Linked DNA regions of Sus scrofa. The protein of the gene in region 2 purifies or fractionates together with the protein of the main gene of each other region. This does not show direct contact. Links are inferred from orthologs where the notes say so. Each region holds a gene or a part of one and is shown on either strand. Other genes may lie near its edges.

The links. The genes of interacting proteins can lie anywhere in the genome.
Region 1: the proteins of NRBP1 (region 2) and TSC22D2 purify together in Homo sapiens (affinity purification with mass spectrometry; 5 studies listed by BioGRID and IntAct, with this or other methods). This does not show direct contact. The link is inferred for Sus scrofa from reciprocal best matches to the Homo sapiens genes NRBP1 and TSC22D2.

What each region holds. Positions count from the first base shown.
Region 1 is NC_010455.5:90,639,592-90,643,332, forward strand, and holds the start of TSC22D2 (TSC22 domain family protein 2), read left to right. Parts: upstream 1-903; 5' UTR 904-1,946; coding exon 1,947-3,741. UniProt on the Homo sapiens protein: Reduces the level of nuclear PKM isoform M2 which results in repression of cyclin CCND1 transcription and reduced cell growth.
Region 2 is NC_010445.4:111,722,982-111,726,627, forward strand, and holds part of NRBP1 (nuclear receptor-binding protein), read right to left. Parts: intron 2,433-3,646; coding exon 2,349-2,432; intron 2,171-2,348; coding exon 2,112-2,170; intron 1,961-2,111; coding exon 1,862-1,960; intron 1-1,861. UniProt on the Homo sapiens protein: Required for embryonic development. Plays a role in intestinal epithelial cell fate and proliferation, thereby involved in the architectural development of the intestine potentially via the regulation of Wnt-responsive genes.

The DNA.
Region 1 (3,741 bases), on a different chromosome or scaffold from region 2:
TACTTTCATAGCTACTTCTGGACAGGAAAGGGTGCTTTCTAACGTTTTCTGATTGTTCATGGCCCAATCCAAACCATCTAACACTCTGGCTCCTACTAAGAGTTTTAGAATAAACAAAAGAAAGAACTACAACTATTTAACGCAGTAGGTTCTACATTTATGGAGCCCATAAGCTGATTTCATGCTGAAAGTAAAAACAGTCTCAAGATGTTTAAATGAACTCTTCGATGCTGGAATCACAACAAACTCAAGAAAATTAGGAATATGTTGGTAACCTCTAATCTTTTTTTAAACTGACCTCAGCCTGGGCAAGTAACCATCTTCTGATGCCATTGCCTGAGACAGAATTTCTGGCTGAAAGATCCTTTTTCTGACTCAGTCTGGCTTGCTATTCTTGGTTAATCATCCCCATTTCTCTCAACATTTCACTCCTCTGACTATAATAGATAACATTTATTTTCAGGAAAGACTTTTTAGGTGATTCGGTTCCTCCAGCCGCCTCCCTCTTTATTCTAGTTAAATACCCCAACCCCCATTCCCATCACCTTGTTTCACTAAGATTTTGCTAAACATTAGACACAGTAAGCACATGATCTCCAGTCTTCCAGTGTCTTGGAAAAAACTGATATAAAAACATTCGATTGGCGCGGCTGGAAGTTTCTCTAGGCTTGGAATTTTAGAGTTTTTAGTTGTTCAACTCTTAAAGACCGAAAGAGCAAAATATAAAAAAAATTTTTAAATAAAAAACCGCTCCCCTTTCTTAACCTTTAGCCCCGCCCATTGCCCCCCCAGCCTCCACGCGAAACTGCAGGAAACCGGAGGAGGCGGGGCGGTGACGTCACGACGCCGGTGCGTCACGGAACGGCGGCTGCGGCGCTGGCGGTGGCTGCGGCGCGGCGGCATTTTAGTCGGCAGCAGCGGCGGCAGCAGCGGGGCTGCTGCTACTCCCAGCATCCTTGGCGCGGCCATTTCAGCCCCATCTTGGCCGAGGGGAGGGAGCTGCAGCCGTCGCTTCAGCAGTTTGAATTTCAGTTTCTCCAGGACCTGCGAACTGGGCGCACCGAGGAGAAGCCTAAGAAGCTACCGCCGCTACCTCACACAGCTGGAGCGCCGCCGCTCGCCGGCTAGCCGGCCGCCGCCCCTCACTCTCTCAAGAGCCGCGAGGGGAGGCCGAGACCGCCGCCGCCGCCCGCCTGCGGGGGTGGCTCCCCCTGTGTAAGGGGAGGACCGAGCCGGCTTTCTCCTCCCCCGGAGCGGGTTTCCGCCAGAGACGGTCGACATGTCCCTGGGGTTGAGCTCCGGCTAGAGCCGGGGAGGGAGGGCCGCCCGCCCGCGCCGAAGCTCCGCCGCCCGCCCGCGGCGCCTGGCTGAATCAGGAATCCCGGCTCCGGACTCGCCACTCTTTCTCCGTCCACCCTCGGCGTCCGAGAGCTCGGAGCTGACGCCGGCACTGGCTCTAGGAGCCGGAGCGGGGCAGCACCGCCCCTCACGCCGCCGCCGCCGCCGCCGCCTCCTCCCCTTCGCCCTCCCACTCCCACCCCCAGCCAAGGCCTGCTGACCGCGCCGAGCGCCGAGCTGGACTGACCACGGCAGCCCGGAGACAAGAGGAGGAAGCAGCCGGCCCGCCCCTGGAAACGCGCTCTCGCCGCTACTGGGGGTATTGAATTGAGGCGCCGCGGCTGCGGGAGGCGAGAAGGAAGGAGGAGCCGCCGCGCGAGTGAGACCCGGGCAGAGCCGGAGAAACCGACATCGAGAAGGAAACGGGAGGAGGATGTCTCACCGAGCAGCCGGTGCCCAGATCAGCCCGTGACTCGTAACAGCGTCGGGCCTCAGACCCCGGTGCGGACCCGGACTTTGTCTTTGGGGGCCGGTGCTCTGCCCTTCCTGGTTTCCGGCAAGATCGCAGAGGAGCCGCCGTGCCACTCTGCTCTCCAGCCTTCCTCACCATGTCCAAGATGCCGGCCAAGAAGAAGAGCTGCTTCCAGATAACCAGTGTCACCACGGCCCAGGTGGCCACTAGCATCACTGAGGACACTGAGAGCCTGGACGACCCGGACGAGTCACGCACAGAGGACGTCTCCTCCGAGATATTCGACGTTTCTCGGGCCACGGATTACGGGCCCGAGGAAGTCTGCGAGCGCAGCTCCTCCGAAGAGACGCTCAACAATGTTGGGGATGCGGAGACCCCTGGGACCGTCTCCCCCAACCTCCTCCTGGACGGGCAGCTGGCGGCCGCGGCGACCGCTCCCGCTAACGGAGGAGGAGCCCTTTCGACCCGGAGCGTGGCTGGGGTGCTGGCCAGTACCCTGGCATCGGCCGCCACCTCGGCCCACTCTTCGGGGGCCCCCGGCGTGCCCCCTGTCGCAGGCCCCTCCGCCGGGCCGGGGACTGCCGCCCCATCGCAGCCCCCTACCACTTGTAGCTCCCGTTTTCGCGTGATCAAGCTGGACCACGGCAGCGGGGAGCCTTACAGACGCGGCCGATGGACGTGTATGGAATACTATGAGCGGGATTCCGATAGCAGTGTCCTGACTCGGTCCGGAGATTGTATTAGGCACAGCAATACTTTTGACCAGACTGCGGAACGGGACAGCGGCCTGGGCGCCACCGGAGGATCGGTGGTGGTGGTGGTGGCCTCCATGCCTGGGGCGCACGGGCCCGACTCGGGAACTGACAGTTCCTTGACTGCTGTGTCACAGCTACCCCCGTCGGAGAAAATGAGCCAACCCGCCCCGGCCCCGCCGCAGAGTTTTGGCGTTGGGCAGCCGCAGCCGCAGCCGCAGCCGCCGCCCGTAGGTGGGGCTGTCGCTCCAAGCTCGGCTCCGCTGCCGCCGTTCCCGGGAGCCGCTGCCGGGCCGCCGCAGATGATGGCAGCCCCGCCGCCCAGCCAGCCCCAGGGCGCTGGGCACGGAGCCGTGCCCCTGGGGCCCAACGGACAGGGCCTGCCGCTGACGAATGTAACCCTGGCGCAGCCCGGCCTGACCCTGCCTCCGCAGCCCGGCCCGGCGGTCGGCGCTGCTGCCGCGCAGCCGTCCCAGCAGTTCGCATATCCTCAGCCTCATATTCCGCCGGGCCATCTGCTGCCCGTGCAGCCCGCCGGTCAAAGTGAGTACCTGCAGCCCCACGTGGCCGGCCTGCAGCCGCCCAGCCCAGCGCAGCCCTCGACAGCGGGCGCCGGAGCGAGCCCCGCCGCGGCGGCCAGCCTCCCGGTGGGCACCGGCCAGAACGCCGCCTCCTCGAGCGTGCAGCTGATGGGCGCGCCTTCCCTGCCGGGTGAAGCCGTGGCCCCGGGGCCCGGCGCCGTACAGGGCGCAGGGGCCGCGCCGGGTCTACCGGCCACAGTGCCACCGGCTGTAGTGGGAGGCGCGGTGCCCTCAGGCCTGGTTCCCTCCGGGCAGCCGCTGCCAGCGCCTCCGCCGCAGATGGGTGGCAGCGGCACTCCGTCGACCGCACTTGGAGCCCCTCACGCCGTGGTGCCCGGAGTTCCAAACGTGCCTGCAGCCGCTCCGGCTCCCAGCGTGCCTAGTGTGTCTACCACTTCTGTTACTATGCCAAATGTACCGGCGCCCTTGGCCCAGACGCAGCAGCTGAGCAGCCACCCGCCGGTTAGCAGGAGCGGCAGCATCATCCAGCACGTGGGGCTCCCCTTAGCGCCAGGCACCGCCAGTGCACCGACGAGTCTCCCGCAGTCTGATCTAAGCCAGTTTCAGACTCAGACCCAGCCTTTGGTCGGGCAAGTTG
Region 2 (3,646 bases):
GCACCCGCAGCATATGGAAGTTCCCAGGCCAGGGGATCAAATCCAGGCCATAGCTGCGACCTATGCCACAGCCACGGTAACACCAAATCCTTAATCCACCGTGCTGGACTGGGGACCGAACCCAGGCAGCCTCAGAGACAATGCCAGATCATTAACCCACTGCACCACAGCGGGAACTCCATATTCACCATCTTTTTTATTATTATTATTAAAGTATAGTGGATTTACATTTTTTCATCAAGTTCTGTTGTACAACAGAGAGACCCAGTCACACACATCTCCCTGTGCTGTACAGTAGGATCCTGTTGCCCATCCAACCAAAATATAAGTCTGTATCCCTCAAACCCCCCAAATGCCCAGCCATCCCACTCCCTCCCCTTCCCCCTACCACCCCAAGTCTGCTCTTCTTGCCATGATGTTTTTTGTTTTCTTGTTCGTTATTTTTAGATAGCATCATCTGTTTCATATTTTAGATTCCACAAATAAGTGGTATCATACGGTATGTCTTTTTCTTTCTGGATTCACTTAGAATGAGAGTCTCTAGATCCATCCACGTTGCTACAAATGGCATTAGTTTGTCTTTTTTCACCATCTTTTTATTTCCCAAGTCTACTACCACAATTTCCTTTGACTACTATGTCATTTATTCAATTCACTGTATTTCCTCATGCCTCCTTTAACCCTCGCTTTTCCACCTCCCACAGGTCCCCATGACAATCAACCTGCTTTCCTTCTTTCAATCCTGAAGGCCAATAAGGCCATATACCTGTTCTAGCACTTGAACATCCCACCCTGACACTGAACTAGAAACATATTCCAGACTAGCCTCAAGACTTCCTACTTCGTCTTTCTTCTTTTCTCTCCTGCTCCCTTTTAAGGTATCTAATGAGTTACAAACTAACTTTCTGGTTTGGACCCTCTCCTCCAGATTCTATTTACTGCAGTCGATGTCCTGATTCATAACCCCTACATCCTTCTAATCTTGGCTCATTTATTTCAGGGCACTTTCCCTAACTAAAACTATGTATATCTAAAACCCCAAATGACTGACTTGATTGAATCGGTTGCAAATGCGGCTCAGATCTTGATTGAATTGGTCATAGATGAGGCTCAGATCTGGTGCTGCTGTGGCTGTGGTAGGCCAGGGGCTGCAGCTCCGATTCAACCCCTAGCCTGGGAACCTCCACATGCCACAGGTGTGGCCCTAAACAGACCACAAAAAAAAAAAAAAAAAAAAAAAAAAAAAAAAAAAAAAAAAATCATGATGGTTGTCTAAGAGTGTATGTATACCAATTAATTGCCTGAGATAAGCATCAAATTAGTTTGCCTTCATGTAGACACAGCTGGGTTTAATACACAACCTTTAATCCCAATATTACTTTTTTGTTTTTTTTTTTTAGGGCTGCAACTGCGGCACATGCAAGTTCCTGGGCTAGGCGCTGGATCAGAGCTGCAGCTGCCAGCCACAGCCATGTGGGATCAGAGACGAATCTGCGACCTATGCCTCAGGTCACAGCAACGCCAGATCCTTAACCCACTGAGCAAGGCCAGGGATTGAACCCGCATCCTCGTGGATACTATTCAGGGTCTTAACCCGCTGAGCCACAATGGAAACTCCACAATATTACCCACCTTAAACCCCTAACCTGTGAGAGGGAGAGAGATGGGGAGAGAGATGGGGAGAGAGGGGGAGAGGGTGTATACCAAAAACACCTAGGGCAATGTTCACTGCTTTGCTCGCCCCTTCTGCTGTATGTTCTCTTACTCTTAGAAGAAAGCATACTCCCAGGAGGCAGAAGGAAGAAAAACCTGAAGACATTTCAAAGGCTGTTAAGGAGGAAGTGATCCTAAAGATTCTTACCCTCTGTAAAGGGTCTTCTAGAAGCTGGATGGCACTGCTGATGGCTTCCTGTGGCACATAAGAGGACTCTCCATTGCCCTGAATCTCCAGCACTGCCATCTGCAGTCAGGGAGAATAAAAAGGAAGAGCAGAGACCTAAGATCCTCAGTGCTCCCACAATCACTCCCTCCAGTACCTTGTCAACCCTCCACTTCCCCTTCCACCTTCTCATCTGACCCCTTTCCACTACCCACTCTTTTGGTCTCCTCACCTCCAGTGCACACATGCCAAAGGAGTAGATGTCCACTGCTGTTGTCACATTAGTGACTTCTAGGGAAAACAGACAAGCTCTGGTGAATCAAAGGATCAGGGGATGGCAGAGACATCTTAAAACTTTTTGCATGCCAGTAGAGATGGAGAGAAGTTTCAGTTAGGTTACCTCCGACCCACAGGTCAAGGTGGAAAACCTGGGGGATGGGCACGAGGAGGAGAATCTGGGATGCCTCACCTCCATATTCTGGTGCAAAGAAGTGGAGATTCTTCTGCTCTTCCCGACAAGTCTTCACATGATTGTTGATAGTATCAGGAGCCACTGGGAGTAGGGGAGACACCCACAATCTGACCACCAACCACAAAGCACAGCCTCACTCCAGAAAGAGGCTCCCAAAAGACAAATTCTCTCCTGCAGTCCTAACCCTCAACAGGCACAAGCCTATCCCTTTCCCATCAGGAACTCCAGACAAATGAACACTACCTGCCTCCCCTCTCGCAGCTCTACCACGTCTCATCTAAGGTCCCCAACTCAGTGGCAGCCAAGGCTCCAGGCTAGCTAAACAAACAGATACGTGGCATGGCACCTTTGGGCTGACAAGAACACCACAGTCTAAGGGAAAACTTTCACTTTTGACCTGCTTACCTTCCCCAAAGCCCTGGTGCCTCTAATCCCTGATCACCTGCAAACATTTGGTCTAGGTCTCTCAGCCACCCTGTAAGCATCATGAAAACACAGGCAGCCCTTCCTAATCTGGAACAACTTAGAGACCTCAGAAACTTGGATGACAATGGATAAAAGAAGGATTAACATACAACCAAGTAGACAGCCTCCTTCTTACCCACCTTTGCTGGCCGAAACTCAAAAAAATAGCTCAAAACTGAACCGATACCCTCAAATCGGTTTCGCTTGTAATCCACCAAAATACTTAGACCTCTGCTCTATCCCCTTACTCTTCTACACTGCGTGCCACAGGCTGAAAGAGGAACCAGAGCCAGGCCCAATCTGAACTCACTCAGATCATAAACAACGACTACAAGTCACAGAGAGTCTGGGAGCACAATATGACTTAGGGAACCAGCCTGATGATGAGGGGAGTAAGAATCCAGGACGTAAATGGCCAGCCAGGCAGAATCCACAGGAAACAAGCAGGTTATGGCAGGGCAAGCAGGTAAAGGGCTGGTAGGGTGGAAGCCAAGCAGGCATAATTAGGCGGGGGAAGCAGGGGAACAGGGTTTGCTCCCACGACTGCATGCACTGGGCAGCCGCAAAGGGGAGCAGAGGGAGCACGAACAGCGCCCAAGTGGGGCAGAGGGAGCTCTCACCATTAGCAAAAATCCTATGAAAGACTGTTGGGAACAGAGCAGCCCGTAAGCGGGAGGGAGGAAAACAGAGAAAAGTTGTGAGCGATGGAGCAGCCAAGCCCCAGACAAATGGACACACAAACAACACACAGACACAGCACACAGAAATGTTAAATGCTGCACAAACATACACAGCAAATGAAAGCACTCACAGCAGGCACAACCTGGAAC